Caenorhabditis elegans: one gene and its partners. The protein of the gene in region 3 interacts with the protein of the main gene of each other region in a pairwise test. Each region holds a gene or a part of one and is shown on either strand. Other genes may lie near its edges. The genes, in order: pygl-1, sec-23, samp-1 and npp-9.

Region 1 (7,658 bases), on a different chromosome or scaffold from region 3:
AAGATGTTCCATAGCGACTTGATCTACAAAAAATAAGGGAAATTTTTCCACAGAAAAATTACCTCATCACACTCTAAACCATGCGAATTCAATTAAGAAATGTGCGTCTAAATTACCGAAGCGATTATTTTTTATTTCATAAAACTGTTCAGCATAATCAAATATACCAGAAAATACCAAACAACATACTCTAGCTTGTACGGAAGTTTATTTTAAAAAATTTCAAAACTTAACCAAAAGCTGTTATATTCAAAAATTCAAAAGTACGGTAAAATGGTATGGAGTCATTCTTTTTTATTTCATAAAACTGTTCAGCATAACTAAGTATACCAGAAAATACTAAACAACATGTTGTTAATTAAAAAAGACATTTTTTAGCAGTTTTTCTTCAGATTTTATTACGGACACACTAAATCCTGAGAATGCGTATTGCGCAACACATTTGACGCGCAAAATATCTCGTAGCGAAAACTACAGTAACTCTTTAAATGACTACTGTAATGCTTGTGTCGATTTACGGGTTTGATTGTGTCATCACTGTCACTGTTCGAAAATAAAATCATTTCGAAAATCGAGCCCGTAAATCGACACAAGCGCTACAGTAGTCATTCGAAGGATTACTGTAGTTTTCGCTACGAAATATTTTGCGCGTCAATTGTGCTGCGCAATACGCATTCTCAGGATGTAGTGTTCCAGAAATATCTAAAATATAAATTTATTTAAAAAAATAAATTTTTAGCAGTAAAATTGAATTTTTTTAATTGTATTAAACATTTTAATAATATTTTATTATTGAACTAGAGGTTGTTTCATGAAATAATTTGAAATAATTTTTTTTTTCAATTTTTTCGAAAAAAGGTAATTATTTTTGAATTTCTGACGATAATTTAGCGATTTCTGGCTTGAATCACCTTTTTCTTTCAAATTTTCAGACTTTTTTTCCGGAAAAAAAGTAAAATCATCGATTTTTACGCCAAATTTTTTTTTCTAGTGGTATTTTTTTTCTAGTGGTATCAATTTTCCTTCACGCAAAAAATATCTGAAAATTAGATGAACGGTGTTTTAAGTGTTTTAAATCGAAAAATCAAAACAAAAACAATTAATTTTGACAGAAAATGGGAAAAAGTCAAAACGTTTCATTTATTTGCGCAGGAATTCGAAATTAATTCATCCACTTTTCTTATATACTTGCAAAATTCTTTTTAAAAAATCATTAAAAAATTGAGATAAAAAGTTTTTTTTCAACAGTTATATTATGTTGTTACGGCCAATTTTCTATGCTTTGAAGCAAGTTTTCAATATAATTTGTTCTAAATTTGATCTTAAATGAATTTTCTTTAAAATAATCTGCAATTTTTAGGAAAAACTGTTTTTCAAGCAAGAAAAACTAAATTATTTATTTATTTTTAATTAAATTTAAATTCAAATCCGCTACGGCGAGTACGGTGCGCATCGGTGTTTGCGTACTCGCCTACCGTACCCTCGGTGTTGTTGGCGCGAAAATTTTGTTTTCCAATTTTCAATCATGGCGCCAATTTCTGCATTTTCGGTGCAATAAACCACTTGTTTTCGTCAATTTTTTGATTGTCTTCTCCAAATTTTTATCAGTCATTCTTCACTGTTCACCTTCGTAGCCGCCGGTGACACCGAAAATGTCGGATATTGCTGCTCGTTTTGGATTCTTCAACTGGAACAACGTGCGCCCGGTAAGTAATTCGCTGATTATTTCATGCTATCAAGCTTCTTCTTCATCATCTGCTTCATCTGCTTCATCTCTTCATAAGCCAGAAAATCATAAGAAAAAAAACAGCGAGCAGGCAGGGATTTAAGTGAGTGTGTGCGTGCAAAATGGGGAAACGGCCGGCTGAATCTTGCCGAAAAACACGTACGCTTCACTTCAGGCTTCTCCTTTTCGCTTCTCGCCGGCACACACACACACACACACACATGTCAGTCTACTTTTCCCGCCACTTTTCTTCAGCCCATCCTCTTCCTCTTCTATAGGACTTCGGCTCCCAGCTCTCGTTTCACTGGTCATTTCATTTCATAAGCGACGGTGAAAATTGGAATCTATCGAACCTATACGCCTCAAGAATCGTTCACCTTGCCCCCTCCAGCTCGTCGCGTTGTTTGTGCGGTGATTGGTCCTCACTGTACATATACAGTGTTCAAAAAACGGAAAAATACCCGTTTTGTTGTTCTGCTGCACCGCCCGTCTTCTCATTGATATCATAACAGGAGGCGGTGATGATAAGAAAGTCGGGAAATTAATATTAAAGCTTCTAGAAACAGATTTTTCCTCGCCAAAAAAAAAATAAAAAATCTCTTGATTTCTTGGTTTTTCAATTTTTCAATCTTCAATCTCGTCATCTTCTCGACAAAAAATTTGAATCTCCGCCTGCTTCTCTCTCTCTCTGTTTCCCTATCAGTGTCCGTCGGGGTCACACACAACATGTATTTTTCTCTACATCTCTGCTTCTCCCAGAGTTGTTTTCCTCTCCTCACATTTTACACACACGCTCACAAACCCCTTCGCATCCTCTCCCCATCCATTTTTTTTAGATGGCTCGGGCCTCTATGCTCTTTTTTCGATTCCACATAAGCGTGGCAGCTCCCCGAAAGTTTTCGGAACTTTTTTTCAAATTTTCTCAATTTCCAATGGCATCGATCATTCACGTGCACACACTCGTCTCAGTTGAAAAAGAATTGATAAATCGGCAGTGACAAGAATTGTTTATCAAACACAAAGCGGCCATGTCTACCGATAGTCTTTTCCATATTCGAACAGATTTCCGCAAGATTTTAATTAATTAATTCGAGTTGACAGCACAATCTTTGAAGATTCGGTTTTGCGACAATTAAATGCTTTTCTTTGACAAAATCATAAGTAGAAAAGCTTTAAAGTTCAAGCTTCAGGCTAAACAAAAAAGGCTGTGAGCAAAGAACAAAGTCTTCCGTAGCCCAGAAGAAAGTGCCCCTCACTTTCATTAATTTTTTTTTCGATTTTCTTGGGCCGACCGGGTGATAAAAATACACCGAAATATCCTGTCGTCGTCTACTGATTGTTGTTTTATTATCACTTACGCGTTATCAGTTTATCGGTAGTTTTCTGCATGTTGACTGACCGCCGACACGGTCAACACTGATATTATTCGACGTTTTAGCCTGATCAGTTTGAAGCGATGCATTTCACTCCTCAATGATCAGCGAAAATATTTTTTCTTCGATTTTTTTTTTGGTTCAAGGAGGAATGCTTGCTTGTATAGGATCAAAACTTCGCAGAAAATTACTAATTTTAGCTAAGATCCCCAGTTTTGCCAGCTTTTCCGTGTCGCAGTGCTCAGAGACTAACTTTTATTTGATTATCATCTTTTATTGCATATTTTCATCACTTATTTCGTTGATTGAGGCATTTTTGGTCCCTTATCGGCTTAAATGCACCTAGATCAATGAAAAAACGTTGGATAAATGCCCAATAAATGATGTTAATCAAATAAAAGCTAGTTTCTGCGAACTGCGACACGGAAAAGTTCGCAAAACTAAAGGTTTTTGCGGAAATTTGCGATTTTTTTGAAAAATATAGCAAATCCACGTGGCTTTCATACTTTTTTCAAAAATCTTTCATCTTGGAAATCACGGGGCCGGCCCCTGCTATCAATATTGATTGTTGACTGATCACTGAACTGCCCCCCTCCTGTTGACTTTGTACTGCGTCGACTACTATCTCGCAACACATTTTGTTTTCTGGCCTGACTCGCCATTGCCTGCAGTGTTCGAAATTTTTGTTTGTCCACCATTCTTATCACAGTAGCCGAACAAGTTATAATTTTCACCACTTTCCGCTCATTTTTTCTCCCAAAAAAACCAATTTCCAATTTTCAGCAGCCCGTGGTTGCCGAATCGACTGCCTCATCGTCGAGTCCGAAGCTGTTCAGCATGATCACCAACGATCACGATCGTCGCAAGCAGATCTCCGTGCGCGGAATCGCTCAAGTGGAGAACGTGTCGAACATCAAGAAGGCGTTCAATCGCCACCTTCACTTCTCGATCATCAAGGATCGTAACGTGGCCACCGATCGCGACTACTACTTCGCGCTCGCCAACACTGTCCGCGATCATCTCGTGTCTCGCTGGATACGAACTCAACAACACTACTATGACAAGGATCCGAAGCGGGTCTACTATCTGTCGTTGGAGTTCTACATGGGGCGAACGCTGTCGAACACAATGATGAACCTCGGAATTCAGGCGACCGTCGACGAGGCGCTCTACCAGCTCGGTCTAGACATTGAGGAGCTTCAGGAGATCGAAGAGGACGCCGGGCTCGGAAACGGAGGACTCGGACGTCTCGCCGCGTGTTTCCTCGACTCGATGGCCACGCTGGGTATTCCGGCTTACGGATACGGGCTTCGCTACGAGTACGGAATCTTCAAGCAACTTATTCGTGACGGATGGCAGATTGAGGAGCCAGACGATTGGCTTCGCTTCGGAAATCCATGGGAGAAGGCTCGTCCAGAGTACATGCTTCCGGTCAACTTTTATGGAAAAGTTGTGAAGGAGGATGTGAGTTTTGATTTTTTGGAGAAAATTAAATTTAAAAAAATAAAAAAGGAATGGGCCGAACTGGGGATTGAACCCGGGACCTCTCGCACCCAAAGCGAGAATCATACCACTAGACCATTCGGCCATGTTTGGAAATCGTGTTTGGAAGCAATCAAGATGCACAATAATCGATAATTGGCTGATTGCGAGAAATAATAAGATTCGATATCTCTTCATCACCAGCTTTCACGTATCTAATCGTGGCCGAATGGTCTAGTGGTATGATTCTCGCTTTGGGTGCGAGAGGTCCCGGGTTCAATCCCCGGTTCGGCCCATTCCTTTTTTCTTTTTTTCGCTTACTTTTTTTATTTTTCATTAAAAAATATATTATTTCAGGGAAAATCGAAATGGATCGACACTCAAGTTGTGTTTGCCATGCCATACGACACACCAGTCCCCGGATACAAGAACAACATCGTCAACACGCTTCGTTTGTGGTCCGCCAAAGCCGAAAATCATTTCCACCTCAAGTTCTTCAACGACGGAGACTACGTGCAGGCTGTGATGGATCGTAACTTGTCCGAGAACATCACTCGTGTCCTCTACCCGAATGACAACGTATGTTTGAGCTAGATTTTGGCAGAAAAAAAAAATCAATTTCCCCACATTTTCAGATGTTCCTCGGAAAGGAGCTCCGTCTCAAGCAGCAATACTTCCTCGTCGCCGCCACCCTCCAGGACATCATCCGCCGCTTCAAGTCCTCCATCTACGGAAACCGCGAGGCCGTCCGTGTCAACTTCGAGACCTTCCCGGATAAGGTGGCCATCCAGCTCAACGACACTCATCCATCGATCGGAATTCCCGAGTTGATCCGTCTCCTCATCGACGTCGAGGGACTCACCTGGGATCAGGCCTGGGACATTTGCATCAAGACCTACGCCTACACCAATCACACCTTGCTCCCAGAGGCCCTCGAGCGCTGGCCAGTGTCGCTTATGCAGAATTTGTTGCCGCGTCATTTGGAGATCATCTACGAGATCAATCAGAAGTTCATGAACACCATCTCGCAGAGATTCCCAGGAGATTTCGACCGTATGCGTCGTATGTCGATTGTCGAGGAGGCCGATCAGTTCGGCGAGAAGCGCATCAATATGGCTCATTTGTGCATTGTGGCTTCTCATGCCATTAATGGAGTCGCGGCTCTTCACTCGGATCTTCTCAAGAGCTCCACGTAAGCGAAAATGCTCTGAAACCTGGCGCTAGAACCAATGGGCGACGCATCATTTTGCAGCTCCGCCGCACGAATTTATTTTGGCTGTTTTTCGCATGATGTTTTGAAAGATTTCGATATGTGAACTCGATAAAATCACGAAAAATTGATAATTTGTCATTGAAAATTCGGACAGAAAGAGAAAAAACATCGTGCGGCGGTGTTGCTAAATCGCGCGCCGCAAATTGCAATCCCGGCCCGCCCAATTTTTCTTACGCGCAAATTGCAAAATTACCATTTTAAAAAATTAATATCATCCATTTCCAGCTTCCGTGACTTCTATGAGTTCTACCCGGATCGCTTCCAAAACAAGACGAACGGAATCACACCACGCCGCTGGCTTCTTCTCTCCAACCCATCTCTCGCCGACCTCATCGTCGAGAAGATCGGCGAGTCGTGGATCACCAATCTCGACGAGCTTCAGAAGCTCAAGGAGTACGCCAACGATGCCGGGTTCCTCGATTCGATTCGTCGTGTGAAGCTCGAGAACAAGCAACAAGTCGCCCAGTATTTGAGCGACGAGTACAATGTCAACGTGAACGCCGCTTCGTTGTTCGATGTGCATGTGAAGAGAATCCACGAGTACAAGAGACAGCTTCTCAATATTCTCCACGTCATTGCTCTCTACAATCGTATCAAGGAGAACCCGAACATCGATATGGTTAAGCGTACCGTGTTGTACGGAGGAAAAGCTGCTCCAGGATACCATATGGCTAAGCAGATCATTCGTTTGATCACCGCCGTCGCCGAACAAGTCAACAATGATGCCATCGTTGGTGATCGTTTGAAGGTCATCTTCCTCGAGAACTACCGTGTCTCGATGGCTGAAAAGATCATTCCAGCTTCTGATCTCTCTGAACAGATCTCGACCGCCGGAACCGAGGCTTCAGGAACCGGAAACATGAAGTTCATGTTGAACGGAGCTCTCACAATCGGAACTCTCGACGGAGCCAACGTTGAGATGGCCGAGGAGATGGGCGACGAGAACATCTTCATCTTCGGAATGAACGTCGAGGAGGTTGAGGCGCTCACAAAGCGCGGATACTCTTCGCAGGAGTTCATCGACAAGAGCCCAATGCTCAAGCAGATCATCGAGCAAATCGAAGGTGGCATGTTCACTCCAGAAGATCCAGATCAGCTCAAGGATCTCTCCAACATGCTCCGCTATCATGATCGTTTCATGGTGTGCGCCGATTTCGACGCTTTCATTGAAGCCCAGGATAAGGTAAAACTCAAAAAATTCAACTAATTCAAATTTTTACTGATCAAAATAAATTATTTTCAGGTCTCCGCTACATTCCGCGACCAAGAGAAGTGGTCTCGCATGGCCCTCTACAACATCGCCTCGACCGGAAAGTTCTCAACAGATCGCACAATCACCGAATACGCTCGTGAAATCTGGGGAATCGACCAGTTCGAGAGCTCTCTTCCAGCACCATATGAGAATGAGAAGAGCGAATAATTCTTCTATGCACTAACATTGTAATTAATTATCGCCATAACTTCCCCTCCTCTCCGTCCCATTTAGTTTATAGCATTTTTATAGAAGCCTTTCCCTCCCCCGATAATTCTTGTGAATCTTCAAGATCAAATTGATTTTGTCCTCTCTGCCCCCAGTCCAATAATCGTACTTCCCCCGAATGTGTTGCCATACTTTGAGATTGTCTATTTGCACGTCTGCCCTGCATATTTATGATAAATTGACTGAAAATATCAACTTTTTTTTTTTAATTTTGACTCGAATCTGCAAATGCTGAAATTTAATTAAAAATTATGGCTGTCTGAAGGATCTTCAAAGAAGTTTCGATACCTCTACGACCAGCTCGTTAGCAAAATACCAAACTCC
Region 2 (4,810 bases), on a different chromosome or scaffold from region 3:
AAGTGTATAGTCGGTGTATAGTCGTTAATTAACCTATTAACTTAAAGGTGGTGTAGTCGAAAATTATTGAAAATTCACAGATTTCAGTGAAAAATTCGAACAAAACAAGGCTATACACTTTTTAATTCAATTTTCCATCCAAAATCTTATAATTCTATTCATTGGTTAGTAGTATGGTAATTCAATTAAATAATGCGCTACTTATGCTCAATTGACCCAGTTTTCTCGAAAAAGTAGGATTCTTCATAAAAAATAAATGTTAAATTGAATGTTATACTATATATATAGTTGTTCTGAAACGTTACAGCTCTGCGGAATAGGTAAAGGTGGTGTAGTCGAATTTTTTTTATTGCCTTATTAGACTCAAAATTGTCTGAAAACACCGAATTTCATAATGAAACTTCTTGAAAACTTGACAAAAAAAAGTTATGGCGGCTCAAAAAATGGCCTAAAATTAGTTAAAATTTGAAATTTGACCGACTTGTCAAGCGGCTGGAAACACTTTTTTTTTGAAATCACCGTCAAATTTTGAGTTTACAAGTTGATTATCTTGCGTTTTAAACTTGATTAAGGTATTTAAAAATCGATGTACGGCGAGATTTTTAATTTTTTTTATCGATAAACTCGCCGTCCATCGATTTTTAAATAGCTTAATCAAGTTTAAAACGCAAGATAATCAACTTGTAAACTCAAAATTTAACGATGATTTCAAAAAAAAAAATTTCCAGCCGCTGCGACATTGATAAGTTAGTCAAATTTCCGATTTTAACTAATTTTAGGCCATTTTTTGAGCCGTCATAACCTTTTTTTGAAAAGTTTTCAAGAAGTTTTATTATGAAATTCGGTGTTTTCAGACAATTTTGAGTCTAAATAAAGCAATTTGAAAAAAATCGACGACACCACCTTTAACTATTCCGCATTTTAGAGCTTTAACGTTTCAGAACAACTATATATATAGTATAACATTTAATTTAACATCTATTTTTAATGAAGAATCCTACTTTTTCGAGAAAACTGGTCAATTGAGCATATTGAGCGCATTATTTAATTGAATTACTATACTAGTAACCAATGAATAGAATTATAAGATTTTGGATGGAAAATTGAATTAAAAAGTGTATAGTCTTGTTTTGTTCGAATTGTTCACTGAAATCCGAGAATTTTCAATAATTCTCTAATTTTTCGCTATTCATTTTGCATTTACTTAGTGTTTTTTTTTTGGCATTTTTCGGCATTTTTCAGGCTTCTAACCCAAAAAATCCAATTTTCCCTGCAATTTATTACCTTGAAAACGTAGCTTCTCGAGATTCCCTGAGTGTTGAGCTCATGCAGCTGGACCATTCTACCGTAGGTGATCAATCCGACGAGAGCATCGGCTGGGAGCAGCGAGAGAGCAGTCTGAAATTGGAAAAATTGGGAAATTTTGCCCAAAAATCTGAATTTTACGGCAAAAATTGCCAATTTTCATGAAAAATAACACTATTATGTTTAAAAAAGTCGAATTTTCAAGCGAAAATGAGCAGAAATTCCCATTTTTCAGCAGAAATTCCCATTTTTGAGTGAAAAAATCACAAATTTTGAGTTGGAAAACCGACGAATTTTCGAGCAATTTTCCGCGAAAATTTTAAAAAACCGCCGTTTTTTTCTCAATTTTCTGCAATTTGTCCCGTACTTGAAGGCATTCTTTCAGCGATTTCAGCTCCTCTGCAGTCATACACGTGTCGACGACGAAAACGAAGATCGGCGGCATTGTGGTGGCTTTCTGGAATAAAGATTTGGCTTAAAACTCGGATTTTTCAGCATTTTCTCACTCGAAGCGTGTACTCAATGGTTGTAAATTGTGGATAGAGCTCCGGCGGGCGGTTATCCTCGGCAATTGCCGCATAATGAGCCGGGAACGGATTCCGATTGTTGCAGAATGGGCACATCCAGATTTTGGCGCGATAATCGACGGCGCTGAAAGCATCATTTTTCGGGGTGAAAATCGGGCAAAAAAAGGCCTGAAACTCACCAAAGTGGGTTTAAAATCGCTTTACAGCTGGCTTTTTGGCACAAAACCGGATCATATTCCAGTGGTGGTTGGGCGACTTCTGTTGATGGGCGCTCCTGGAAAAAAAATTTGGTTTTTGAGAGAAATTTGATGAGAAATCGTGAAATTTCAGCTTAAAATCGGCTTGAACTCCGCAAAATTGGATTAGCAGCGCCTAAAGCTTGTAGTTTGTAGTTTAGCAGCGCCTAAAGCTTGTAGTTTGTAGTTTCAGCAGCGCCCAAAATTGGATTAGCAGCGCCCAAAACGTGTAGTTTGTAGTTTAGCAGCGCCCAAAATTGAATTAGCAGCGCCCAAAACTTGTAGTTTGTAGTTTTAGCAGCGTTCAAAATTGGATTAGCAGCGCCCAAAACTTGTAGTTTGTAGTCTAAGCAGCGCCCAAAATTGAATTTTTTTTTTGCGTTTCTCAGCGGAATTTTACGATTTTTGCAGAGATTACCGACTTTTTAAGGTAAAAATGCAGAAATTCCGATGGAAATTGAGAAAAAAATCGCGTTTTTAATCGAAAAATTGCTGAAATTCATGCCTTCGGTGTTTCGAAGCTGCCGATCGGCTCGAGCAGCTACCAAATTTGAATTTTTAGAAGATTATAACGAATTTCTGGCAAAAAATGAAGCAATCCACTAAAATTTGCAAAGATTCGGAGAAAATTGATGGAATTTCGATGGATTTGAAGAAAAATTGCTGAAAATAGGCTTTTCCTCAGCTTTTGGCGCTGCTCGGCAGCTACAAAATCCAATTTTCAATGCTTAAAATTCAATAATTCCACGAAAAATTCGAAGAAAATCCAGTTTCCGCGCCTCAGTTTTACCTTCAGCGGCGTGAAAAAGCAGGTGAGCGGGACGACAAGCTTCTGAGAATCCACTCGACTGTGTGGCCACATGTTCCACGTGAATTGGACGCCATCGTTCGCCTGTTGAGCACCCAAATATTCTTCCCAAGTGGCCATTTTTACTGGAATAAACTGGTAATGAACTTTTTATCGCGGAAAATGATGAAAAACGAGGAGAATACGTGGATTACGTGTGAAATTCTGGTTTTTCACCATTAAATTTTAATTTTATTAATATAAAACACTGAAAATCACGTTTAATAGCGAAAAATCGAGTTTTTTGGGTTTTTATGGTTGCCCAATCAATTTTCGTCATTTTTTCGACATATGCAAGGTGAAAACTATGATTTTTACACTAAAATCAATAAAAATCGACTTATTTTCAATATTTTAGCAAGAAAAATCAGAAAAAATGGTGAAAAACGAGTGAAAATCTGCAAAATTCCAACAGAAAATGTACACGTGGAGGAAGATGGCCGAGAAAAGAATTGGAGTTTTCTAGGCCGCGGCCAGTGTGTTGTTTTACGATGCGTGACACTTTTGAAAATGTTTTTTGAGTTGGTTTTCTCGATTTCTACCGTTTTTCGTTGCAATTTCTGTATCTTTTTGGTGAATAATAAGTGAAAATCTCGATTTTTCAGTATGAAACGGATCGCCGACGAGGAACTTGTGCGAGAGGAGCGTGCAGAGGAGAGTACACAGAAATGGCTGCAGGATGCCAAGTTTCAAGAGATTTTAGGCGCTGATTCGTCGCATAAGGTGAGAAAATCAATAAAAAGTGAATTTTTTGCATTAAGAAACAATAAATTTCACCTAAAAATCATAAAAATCAATATTTTCTTCCAGTCTCTCTTCGTTTTGCTCTCCCATCCCGATGGATCTCAAGGCATTCTGCTTGCCAACAAGTCTCCGTTTTCCGAAGAAAAATCCGATATCGAGAAGCTTCTGGCGACTGCACAGCTTCAAGAAATCTCCAGAAATGACATTTTCGGGTCCTATAATATAGAAATCGATCCCAAATTGAATTGTAATCCACACAATCTTGCTTAAATTAATTTTTAATTCAATTTTCAGTGCTAAAATCTCAACTAATCTACCCGATAAACGATCGTCTCATTGCAAAATACCGTCAGGAGGAGAAATTCGTGATTCGAGAGACTCCAGAGCTTTATGAGACTGTTACAAGGCCGTATATTGAGAAATATCAGCTGAATCTCAATGTAAGCAGCGAAAAAATGAAGAAAATCGGAGAAAATACCAAGAAAATGAGTTTAGCAGCGCCCAAAACGTGTAGTTTGTAGTTTAGCAGCGCCCAAAACTTGTAGTTTGTAGTCTTAGCAGCGCCCAAAATTGAATTAGCAGCGCCCAAATCTTGTAGTTTGTAGTCTTAGCAGCGCCCAAAATTGAATTAGCAGCGCCCAAATCTTGTAGTTTGTAGTCTTAGCAGCGCCCAAAATTGAATTAGCAGCGCCTAAAACGTGTAGTTTGTAGTGTTAGCAGCGCCCAAAACGTGTAGTTTGTAGTCTAAGCAGCGCCCAAAATTGAATTAGCAGCGCCCAAAACGTGTAGTTTGTAGTCTAAGCAGCGCCCAAAATCACGATTATCGATTTTCACTCGTTTTTCTTCGATTTTTTCGAATTTTTTGATTTTTCTTTTGGTTTTAAGTGAAAAACAAGACAGAAAATGAGAATATTCTGCAAAAAATTGACAAAAACCATTAAAAATTCGTAGATTTTCTCTGTTTTTCAGAGTTTTTAGCGTTCAAAGTGAATAAAAATTCGGAAATTAGTAGAAATACTGAAAATCGCACAATTTTAAATGAGAAAATGCGATTTTCCGCTCGAAATTTCTTTTTCAAAAATCAATTTTTCGTTTCAGTGGGTGTACAATTGCCTGGAAAAGCGCTCGGAAGTCGATAAAATCGTGTTCGA
Region 3 (4,913 bases):
TTTGTTTCAAAGATCTTCAGAAAAAAACATAATTTATTTTCAGAAAAGATGTCTTCAAAACGAAAAGTTCTTCTGATGGGCAAAAGTGGATCCGGCAAGACTTCGATGCGTTCGATCATATTTGCCAACTACATCGCCAGGGATTGTTCGCGTCTCGGGCCAACAATCGAAGTTGAGCATGCTCATGTCAAGTAAGGGATCAATTCTGGATCAATTATCAAAAGAACACAATTTTTCCTTTTCCAGGTTCCTCGGAAACATGGTTCTTCACTTGTGGGATTGTGGTGGTCAGGAATCATTCATGGAGAACTTCCTCGTCTCGCAAAAGGATCAGATCTTCAAGAATGTTCAAGTGCTCATATACGTATTCGACGTGGAAAGCCGAGAGTTCGAGAAAGATCTCAGATATTACCAGTCTTGTCTCGAAGCTCTTCTCCAAAATTCACCGAATGCTCAAGTCTTCTGTCTCATTCACAAAATGGATCTGATCGAGGAGGACAAACGTGAAGAGACGTTCAAACGTCGTGAAGCAGATGTACTGCGATACAGTGAACTTGCAGCGACTCCACTTCAGAATGAACGGACGAACGCTGTTTGTCAATGCTTCAAGAGCAGTATTTGGGATGAGACACTCTACAAAGCGTGGTCCGCGATAGTCTATCATCTGGTGCCAAACGTCGGAACCATGGAGGACAAGCTGAAGAAGTTCGGAGCTATTTTGGATGCCGATGAAGTTATTCTATTCGAGAGAGCGACGTTCCTGGTTATTGCGCATGCTGTTCTCCGAGAGCATAAGGATCCACATCGATTCGAGAAGGTTTCAAACATCATAAAGCAATTCAAGCTTTCATGCACGTAAGTTACATCGAAACAGATTAATTCAAGCTTCATCTTCCTTTCAGAAAAATGGGGTCCAAGTTGGATTCGATTCAAGTCCGAAACAGTCAATTCTCCGCATTCATCGACTCGTTCACCCAGAACACTTATGTTATGGTAAAATCTCAAATAAAATGTATTTTAAAACACTATTTTATTTTGTTCAGATCGTGATACCCGACGGCAACGCATCGGCTCCAATGATCACAATGAACGTGAAGAACGCGAGGAAGGTGTTCGAGGCGATCGAGACGAAAAGCTAGACGAATTTGAATATTTCACCGAGTTCTTGCCCCGCATTCCAGTTATTTTCGTTTAGTTACCATCCCATATCCCATGTTGCTGTATTATAATGCTAAACTGATTTATTTAAATCCAACTGCAAAATTGTTCAACTCTATATTTTTCACTATATTTCGTAATTCACCGCTTAGATTTTCCGTTTCGCCAGTGCTTTTGCGAAGTTTTTCGTTTTTTTTGTTTAATTCTCCCCGTACCATCCAAATCCGATTCTTTGCGATAGTCATCATCGAAAAAACCTATCGTTCGTGTTCTTGTTCTGTATTTGTATATGAATTGTGCTATATTTTCATTTGGAATTTAACTGATATTTTCTCGTTTAATTAGTAATTTGTTATCAACAAGTCTGCCTATTTTAATCTATGTTTAAAAAAGTATAAAATTTCAATATAAATTCAGATGGAGGTGGCTGCTGCGGTCGGTGTGATCGCTTCAGTTCCGATCCTTTATAAGGCTATAAGGTAATGTTTTTCTTCTTAATTTGCAAAAAATTAATAATTATACATATTTTCAGACCTCGGATAAAGACATCGGTGGAGTGCTGGTTTTGCCGCAAAAGCACGAAGGTCGAATACCAGCAAAGGAATAGCTTCACCTGCCCGTCATGCGAACAATACAACGGATTCACCGAAGACGGAGACTATAACCGTCGGATTCCTGGACAAGCGTGGACTACACCCAAGAGATATTGTGAGCCGGGGAAAATGCAGTCAGAGAAGCCGAGCACATTTTTGGATCGATTTGGCGGGGTGAACATGAGTCCTAGTGAGTTTAATATCCTTTTTTTATAATTTATGAGTTAAATTAAAATTCCAGAAGCTTCTAACGGTCTCTGCTCGGAATGCAACCTCGGCCAGGAGATCATAATGAACAAGGTCGCAGAATTCGAGCCCATTGATGAGGATCGATGGAACGAAGAGCTCGAGGATTATCGATACAAACTGGAAAGAATGTACCAGCTGTGTCCGAGATGTACAATTCAAGTTCATGGAAAGCTGGAGGAGGATAAGAAGAAATACTCATATCTTCTGAAAGTGAAATATAAGCTGAAACATGCAATTGGATCTACTCTACGAGAAGTGATGAACAATCAGAAACGATCGCGGAGATTCTTCTTCGCCGGTGGAAGTACATGTGAAGCTCTTCATTTTGGATGCCTCATCTCTTCAATTATTCTCTTTTTGGCGAATATCGACTTCTTACAGCAAGATGCAGGAGCATCGCTGATCAATTTGCCAAAGGCTCTTCAAGATATTCTGCCAGAAGTTTATAAATATTCCTTCGTCATCAATTTTCTGATCTTCACTACACATTTGATTGCTGCATTTAATAATAAGTAAGTTTCATTCTACAATACAAAAAAACTGTAATTTTAATTTCAGATGCCGAGTTACTCTTCCCGACCTGCTGCTGCCCATCCTTCTGATCCTCGCAATGCTAACAGTTTTGACTTCAAGTGATGTGAGTTTCAAAATATACCCTTTGCAAGTTTTACACCTCTTTTTTTCAGAATTTATCACAAGATGTCGCTCTTGTCAGAGGTGCATGTGCTTCGTTTTCAACGATCCTTTCAATGGCAGTGACACTTCTTCCAAGGAAAAAGCTGCATAAGAAACGACCGAATAAGATTGTTTCAAGGTTAAATAAATATTTTATTTTTAAAAATTCCTTCAACTTTTTCAATTTTCAGTGCCTTCTCTGTTGCGTCAACTCCGATCTCTCAATGCTCTTCACAAAACAGTCGAAACGCTTCACTTCTCGATCATGACCACACGATTCTTCGAAGATCTCCACATACGCCATCAGCAAGCCCTCCAGCAATGAATTCCTCTCCACCATTGCTCCGTGAAATAACAAATGGTCCAGTGTGGTCTGCAATGAGAAGTCGGGAGAACAAGGAAAATATGCAAAGTTATCAGACTAAACCTAACAATCACGTGGAATCAATGGATTGGGATGATAGTGAATCGATGGCGGCTCAATCGGTTGCTCAATCAACTCGTTCCAGTCATTTCAAGCCAGGACTTTTATCCAGAAATATCAATGAAAGAATGACTGCTCAACAGCTTACACCCTCCGTGGCAAATTTGAATCTTGATACGAGATCTGTCGATTCTCCAAGTATATTCTCAAGACAACACCGGCAAATGGCTCAGCAACAGAATCACACACCGACTAGATCATTGTTCGGGCCACCACGATCTATGGTAGCTTCACAATACGACAGGAGCCACTACATGGCACCGGAAGCACAGTAAGATTTGTTGAAACTGAAATATTTATTAAAACTTAACCCTTTAATCTTGAACAATCAGTTATTTTTTGTTTAGAATGATAATTAGAGAAGCAATAGTGTGATAGCATTTGTGCAGGATAATTGTATATTAGACTTTTAAAAACTTAGAACTGATTGGACGTTGGACTTTGATAAATAATATGTGGAATTTTGGTTAGACCTTTCAAGTCACAGGTCACGTAAGCTCAGATGAAAACTAAAATTAATTTAAAAAGAATTGAAAATTCCGTTATTATTCAATTTAGATTTAAAATTTGAAGATTAGATTTTCGTTTCGAGACCGTGGTTACGGTATTTTGGAGCCAATAATATTTTGCAAGAACCAGCATTTATTGAAAAGATTGACTAAATTCTGTTTGGTTTTTCTACGTTTTTCCTTCTATTAACCTTCAAGATTCCCATCAATTTTATTTATTTACAGCACTCGACCCGGTTCAGTGTTCACATCGGTCTCGCAACAAGACGGACACTCAACGGTCAGCGGCGCGTGGCAGTGTCGCGTCATCGGCATCCTCTTCGCGCTGGTTTTTATCGTACTCATCATGCAGATCGGACTGTTCTACGTTCTTTTCACCCGCAATTGATTCGACCTTATTATATATGTTGTTTTCTATGTTTCATCTCTCTCCTCATCATGCCCTATTCACATTTTTGTTGTTTGATCCTGTGTGATATTAGTTTCAAGTTATTTGGGTTCCCAGTGCTCTTTTACTATTTGATGTGTGTCTAGCTCGTTTTGTTGAATTTATTCTTTCAAATATGCCCCTTTTCACCCTCTCTGATGATCTCACTTCGTTGTTAAATACCTTACTACTTCAATTTCTACTACATGAAACCCATCTACATATACATCTCTCTCCAGTACAAGTCTATTGACAAAATGAATAATTCCCGAGAAAAAAGAACGCGCAAAAGATGAGAAATGGATTGCAACAACATCAACAAACAAGGCAGCTTCCCCATCCCGCCTGCTGCGCACCACACAATTGCTCCACTCCTGCGCTTCTCCCGGATTGCACACTGTCTGGGAGTGGTCGAATCTCTGCGTCTCGCCAATTCACACACTCTTCGTGTCCTCTGTTTGTCCGCCTGACCTCACTTTAGTAGATGTCTCTTTTGAATACCAGTTTTCTATGCCCAAAATTGGGAAAACTTTGAAATTGGCAAATTGTAAGGTTTTTCACAAAACTTAAAAAACACTTCTATATTTACTGCTAATCAAATAAAAAAATCTTAAAAACCACCGGTGGCGTAGTGGTTAATTATTTTGCTGCCGCTCAGACGACGCCAGTTCGACTTTTACCATCTTCTGCCACAATTACGGTTACTCGTATTCATCTTCTCACAATTATCCACACCGTCATTTGTTCCTTTTCTCTTCCGTATCTCATATTTTCCTCCCTTTTCTTCTCATATTTCATTCACTTGTGATCCTCCCTTC
Region 4 (5,778 bases), on a different chromosome or scaffold from region 3:
CTTGTTAAGAAAAAACTTTTTTTTTGCAGTATTTCTACGGAACCCGTGCCAACAATCTCTACCCATTCACATTTGACGTCAGCTTCGATGACGTCACTCTTTGTAAAATCGGAGCCGAGCAACTGCCCGATTCATGTCTACCATTCGGAATGGAAGTTGAAAATCATGAGACAAAGCTGGTTATCATGGAGCCCAGTGCCGACATTAAACATCATTTGTTCGCGTTCTCGCGGAGCACGAAAGCCGACGAAAATGTGCTGAAATCGCCGGTTTTTGGATTTTGTCTTGTCACGGAGGTTGGTATTTCGTCGAGTTTTTGGGTCTCGAACGGAAATTTCAATTTTATCCAAATTTCAGGTTGATTTGGAGAAGCGAACAATGTCAATTCTCTGCCCACAGCGTACAATTCCATCGAAAGTTCTCGTCTTCTCAGATATCACCCATCTTGATGATCAAATAAAACGATAATTTATTTCTTTTTTTTCCTAATCCCTATTTATTTGTTTCCCGCCCTCAAAATAAATCTCATTCTTCAATGCATTCACAATTTATTGGATTGTCACCAGTGGGGAAAAATCGATGCCGGGACAATGTGAACAATATAGTTAAGTTTTAAAGACAAAAATTATGAATGATAGTGTGTGGGGGGTACTTATGAGAACAATGGGATTTTGAGAGAGATGGGGGGGAAATAAGGAAATTATTTTTTTAAAAACCTTACCAGACAAATATAAACTACACTTAAAGGACTATAGATGACAGCAGATGGGGATGAATAAAACTAGGTTCATAAATAAAATTGGTGGTGGGGAATACTAACACAGAGTGCTGGGTGGGGAGGAATAACAATAATAAAATAATTTAAATAATCAGCAGAGGATTACATCTTCGATTGAGCATCCTGAACAGCCGTCTTGAATGCTCCGGCGGTCGCCTCGTCCTTGAATTTGGCGGTGAAGATGGCTGGATCAGCGTTGGAGGCGTCTTCTGAGAAGTCCTGAAAAATAAGGAATTTATAGTACATTTTTATATAAAAAGAAATTAAAAATTGCTACCTGGCACATAAATGTGAGCACATTTGGCAAGTTTGGCTTCGGACTGAGCTTCATCGACTTTTCGATACGGAAATTGGCACAGAGCTTATGGACTTGCTCACGACGCATCACGATTCGATATTTGTTGTCATTGCTTTTCAGGAGCTGAAATAATAAATTATTTTTCTCAAATTTAGCCTCTATGAGTCAAAAATCAGTTGTTTTCTTAATAGTTTTCATTAAAATTTAGTGAAAAAACATAGAAAATACTTGCAAAACAGTTGAAAAGTGCGCAAAACTAGCACTTTTCTTAACTGTTTCAACTGAAATAAGTTATTTTCTACGTTTTATCACTAAATTTTAATGAAAACTATCAAAAGAACATGCCAAGCTGGCTCATTTTGATATAAAATCCTAAATCTGACCTTAATATCTCCGAGTCCACGTTCCTTATTCTCCTTGAGATCCGAATAGTACTTATAAAGCTTGCATCTGGCGGAGAACATGACCTCCTCGTCCTCTTCACCAGTTTTCACCTCAACCAAATCCGGAAGAGGAATAACTGGCTTAAACTCGACTTCTGGCTCATACTCCCCATCTCCATCCTCATTCGTCTCATCACCATCGTGTGAAGTTGCAGAAGTCGTGTTCAACGTGGTGTTCTTGCTCCCGAAAATGCTTGCCTTCTTCTGAGCAGCAAGTTCTTCTTGGGCCTTCTTGACATTTGCTGCGTCGAAAATGGAGCCAGATTTGGCAGAGTTGGCTGAAAGGGCAGCGAATGTTGCACCTCCAGACGTGAATCCACTACCGAACACGGATTTTGGCGTCTCGGACTGTTTATTTTCTTCTTGTTTAGCTGGTGCAGTCGTTGATGGAGTCTGTTGCTTTCCGAATGAGAAAGTTGGCTTTGGGAAGGCACTTTCAGAATTCTTGGCGAACATAAACGACGGAGTAGTAGTTGAAGAAGCTGTAGATTCAGTCTTGGAGAGTCCACCTCCGAACAATGAATTTCCTGGAGTCGTAGAGGTTGCCGGAGAAGCAGTTGAAGCTGCAGGATTGTTGAAATTGAACGATGGGGTAGTTGCATTGACAGCGGCAGCTGGCTTGTTGAATGAGAAAGTTGGAGTATTAGCAGCACCTCCACCGAAAACGCTTGTTCCCTTTGGTGTTCCACCACCGAAAATGCTACTGCTAGTGCTTGGAGATCCGCTGAGTGATCCACCGAACTGAGATGTTTGAGCAAGAGGTTCCTTGGCTGGAGCAGATGCTCCGAATCCGAATGTCACTTTTGGAGTTCCTGGGGCAGGCTGGAGGATCGAAGGTCTGCAAATTTAAATTTTTAATTTTAAGATAACTCAAATAGAATATTTACTTAGAGAATATATTTTTCTCTTTGACAGATCCGTCTTTCGATGTCCCACAACAGGCACATTCAATCTCGTCAGCTTTGCAAGTAACATAGCATCCAGGGCATTCCCAAGATCCTGGTTTTGGCTTGAACTGATCTCCAAATCCAGTCTCTTCCGGTTTGTTGTTTGATGGAATCACAACTTCTTGCTTGACTTCCTTCTTCACCTCAGCCGCCGGCTTGATTTCCTTGTCGATGGTCTTTCCAGCGTTGCTCGATGATTTTGCCTCAGCGACAGCCTTCTCGAACAAAGTCTTAAACTCTCCAGCGATATCGACGTTAGCGAAACGAGCGGAAAGCTTCACGTGAGCTGGCTGATCTTCGGAAAAGTCCTCGCAGAACCATGTGTAGGCCTTCTCGTTGGATTTCATTTGTTGAATGGTCATCGAGCCGAGAATTGGGAAATTGGCACAGACTTTGAGAACCTGTAATTTATTTTAATGCTAAATTAAGGTATTTAAATTTAAATTAAGATCTTTCTGTTGAGGAAAACGCCGAAAAATGTGAAAAAAGCTGTAATTGGAATAACCTGAATATTCCAACACAATTCTTCGGTTCCATTCTCAATATTTGAAGGGAGTGTCTCCTCCGAAATGGTCACCTGGTCTCGTCGCATAACAACTCTCCACGACTTCTTGTCCTTGTTGTAGAGAACCTTCAGCTCGCCGGTTCCTCGCTCCTTCCATTCCTTCGTCTCGTTGGCATAAATGTAGAGTTTTGAACGATTGCAGAACATGGTTTGCTCTCCTTCTTCTCCAGTTTTCACCTCGACAAGATCTGGCAGTGGAATGACTGGCTTGAACTCGCCCTCTGGCTCGTAATCCTCATCATGTTCTTCGTCTTCATCATCTTTAGCTGCTGGAACCACGACTGGGGAAGCAGTTTCAGGCTTTTTACCGAAGATTGAAGTAGCTGGATTGGTCCCGCCGAATGAGAATCCGGTGGTGGCTGGCTTTGGAACAACTGCAGGCGTTGGAGTAGAGAATGTTGGCTTAGCAGGTGGAATTACAACTTCTGGTGGAGATGTCTGAAAAATATTGAATTTTTAATTGCTGGAACTAAAACCCGAAAATTTGTTACCTTTGGTGCAATAACTCCAGAAGCTGGAACTGTCGATTTTGCTTGTGCTGTAGTGGCGACCAGTGGCTGTGTAACGGGAATAGCTGGCTTCGCAGCATTGAGCAAATTAGCCATAACTTGGCTTTGGGCCTGTGCTTGGGCTTGAGCTTGAGCGTGAGCATGAGCTTGAGCTTGTGCTGCCTGCACATGAGCCATCTCCATTTGTCGCTGAAGAATCAACATTTGCTGTTGTTGCTGAAGCTGCTGTGGAGGAATCATTGAGCCGAGAGGATTCGCATCACGAGCAAGAAGAGTGTGTATAATTTGATGAAGTCTCTCGAGCTCTTTTCCGTGATTAGTGCTCAAATCGGACAACTGCTTCTGAAACCGATCCTCGGATCGACGAATATCATCGCGAAGCTGGGTGACGCCGGTCTGGTGCTCAATCTGTGAAAAATAAGTATTAAATTGAGTTTTTCATGAATCGCATACCTTCAACGAGTCCATGCTTTTGATAAGCGAGTCAAACTGCATTGTCATCAACTGCTGCACATCCACGACGCTGGCGACAATGCGCCCCATATTCTGAAATACCGTGAATCATGTTGAGCAACATTCGAAAAGATTCACTTACCGGCTTCTGATCGCTCATTGCGAAAGGAGAGCTGAAATATGAAAAATATCAGGTAAACAATTCAAGAGACTTCAAGCTAAAGCGAGATAAAAAGACGAATACTGCGGTCTCTTTAGTTGAAAATTAGCAGCAATACTTCAAAGAATTCGCGCCAGGGATTTGAATTTCGAAATTTCGCGCCAACGCTTTCCCTGCTTAAAATAGGGCTTTCCTACCTTTAAAACTAGTCTTTTCTGTATAAAATATGCTTTTAAACGCACAAAAAATGTTTTCCAGCTATTTTTCGTAAAAATACGGAAAAACTATGGCGAAACAGTCTAAAATAAATAGAAATTGGGCGCCAAGCTTCGCAAATTTCGAAAAAAGTTCAAATTCCTGCGCCGTGGCGAGACCCGTTGCGTAAATCGACACGCGCGCCTTTAACCATGAGTTGGCAATTATTCATGGAAAATACCGGTTTTTCAGGCGAAAAACAGGATTTTTGATATTTTCCGTCGTTTTTTATGGCTTTTTCGGTTTTTGAAATGTCAATTTTGCCTGGAATAGCATTTATTATTCACTTTTCTCAGCGAATTTATTGATTTTTCATCAGAAACTTTCAAAATTGTGTTTTTTAGTGATTACAACAACAAAATGGAAGTAGACACAAGCTCATCGTCATCTTCAGAGGACGAATGTGACCCAAGCTCTCCGAGCACGGCATATATCCACTCAGCGTGAGTTTTTCGCTAAAAAACACAAAAAACAAACTGTTTTTTAAATGTTTTTGTTTCAAAATTAACATTTTCTGAAGTTCTAACAGCAGTTTCTAATCCGATTAATTCCAGAAGCGTACGATTATCCGTCGGAACAGAAGAAGCGGCTCGAACCGTGGCAGATGTCATAAAAATCGATAAAGAGCCGAGAAGAAGTGGTGCTCGACGGGAAGTGTGCAGCGAAGGCGAATTTGTAGTCATGTAATAGTTTTTCTATTCGAATAACTAAATAAATAAGTTAATTTTCAGAAAAATCGAATCAAAAGATCCGAAATCATTGTCAAAATCCATTGCCAACGCTGTTGATATGATCGATTTGTCCGTGAAAACTATCAAACTTTGTGAAAATCTGGGAAAATCGAAGGAAAACGGATTGAAAAGAAAACTCTCAAACGGATCTCAGGCTTAATTTGATTAAAATTTGTTATTTTTTCTGTTTTTGTTTTTTGAAATGAATTTTTTTCAACTTTTCATGATTTTTTCTTCTTAAAAATATGGTTTTTAACCTTTAAAATACTTTTTTTTTCGATTTTATTGCAAATTCCCCACTAAAAAATCGATTTTTTCAGGTTTAAATGTTCAAAAACCTGAAAAACCGGCTGGATAATGAAGCCGGAAAGCTTAAACAATCAGCTCAGCAGTATGGAGAACAACTCGCCGCTCAAGTTGGACAATATCGGCAGGCGATGGTAAAAATCCACTGAAAACTGAGAAAAAATCGATAAAATTGCAGAATGAGCAGCCTGCTGGCAGTGATGCATCCGCGTCGATTTCTAAAAGATTCACCGGAGAATCAGGAGAAACTAAAGCTGAAAATCCAGCAAATACCTCTATTGTGAGAGTTTTAACATGAAAAATTCTCGAAAAATTGAATTTATCGTCGAAAAA

The links.
Region 1: the proteins of samp-1 (region 3) and pygl-1 interact in a two-hybrid assay, tested with the Caenorhabditis elegans proteins (one large-scale study listed by BioGRID).
Region 2: the proteins of samp-1 (region 3) and sec-23 interact in a two-hybrid assay, tested with the Caenorhabditis elegans proteins (one large-scale study listed by BioGRID).
Region 4: the proteins of samp-1 (region 3) and npp-9 interact in a two-hybrid assay, tested with the Caenorhabditis elegans proteins (one large-scale study listed by BioGRID).

What each region holds. Positions count from the first base shown.
Region 1 is NC_003283.11:3,577,516-3,585,173, forward strand, and holds pygl-1 (Alpha-1,4 glucan phosphorylase), read left to right. Parts: upstream 1-1,626; 5' UTR 1,627-1,652; coding exon 1,653-1,706; intron 1,707-3,871; exon of another isoform or gene 3,872-3,882; coding exon 3,883-4,563; intron 4,564-4,615; exon of another isoform or gene 4,616-4,687; intron 4,688-4,804; exon of another isoform or gene 4,805-4,876; intron 4,877-4,938; coding exon 4,939-5,160; intron 5,161-5,216; coding exon 5,217-5,773; intron 5,774-6,079; coding exon 6,080-7,037; intron 7,038-7,097; coding exon 7,098-7,274; 3' UTR 7,275-7,527; downstream 7,528-7,658.
Region 2 is NC_003283.11:20,089,454-20,094,263, reverse strand, and holds the start of sec-23 (Protein transport protein SEC23), read right to left. Parts: upstream 3,002-4,810; 5' UTR 2,997-3,001; coding exon 2,859-2,996; intron 2,107-2,858; coding exon 2,012-2,106; intron 1,957-2,011; coding exon 1,812-1,956; intron 1,763-1,811; coding exon 1,673-1,762; intron 1,399-1,672; coding exon 1,285-1,398; intron 12-1,284; exon of another isoform or gene 1-11. Other genes in the region: dcs-1 (m7GpppX diphosphatase), read left to right, coding at 3,522-3,638, 3,726-3,906, 3,954-4,099, 4,758-4,810.
Region 3 is NC_003280.10:11,301,316-11,306,228, forward strand, and holds samp-1 (Transmembrane protein 201 homolog), read left to right. Parts: upstream 1-1,575; coding exon 1,576-1,637; intron 1,638-1,690; coding exon 1,691-1,941; intron 1,942-1,992; coding exon 1,993-2,512; intron 2,513-2,558; coding exon 2,559-2,637; intron 2,638-2,686; coding exon 2,687-2,814; intron 2,815-2,866; coding exon 2,867-3,430; intron 3,431-3,893; coding exon 3,894-4,056; 3' UTR 4,057-4,371; downstream 4,372-4,913. Other genes in the region: raga-1 (GTP-binding protein), read left to right, coding at 49-191, 247-855, 903-993, 1,044-1,139. UniProt on the Caenorhabditis elegans protein: Plays a role in nuclear migration in hypodermal cells.
Region 4 is NC_003281.10:3,400,111-3,405,888, forward strand, and holds npp-9 (Nuclear Pore complex Protein), read right to left. Parts: upstream 4,167-5,778; 5' UTR 4,154-4,166; coding exon 4,136-4,153; intron 4,087-4,135; coding exon 3,994-4,086; intron 3,949-3,993; coding exon 3,523-3,948; intron 3,470-3,522; coding exon 2,972-3,469; intron 2,868-2,971; coding exon 2,407-2,867; intron 2,358-2,406; coding exon 1,460-2,357; intron 1,200-1,459; coding exon 1,056-1,199; intron 998-1,055; coding exon 881-997; 3' UTR 534-880; downstream 1-533. Other genes in the region: Protein clpf-1, read left to right, coding at 30-296, 358-468; F59A2.5 (L antigen family member 3), read left to right, coding at 4,769-4,851, 4,963-5,091, 5,140-5,299; golg-4 (GRIP domain-containing protein), read left to right, coding at 5,466-5,579, 5,624-5,725.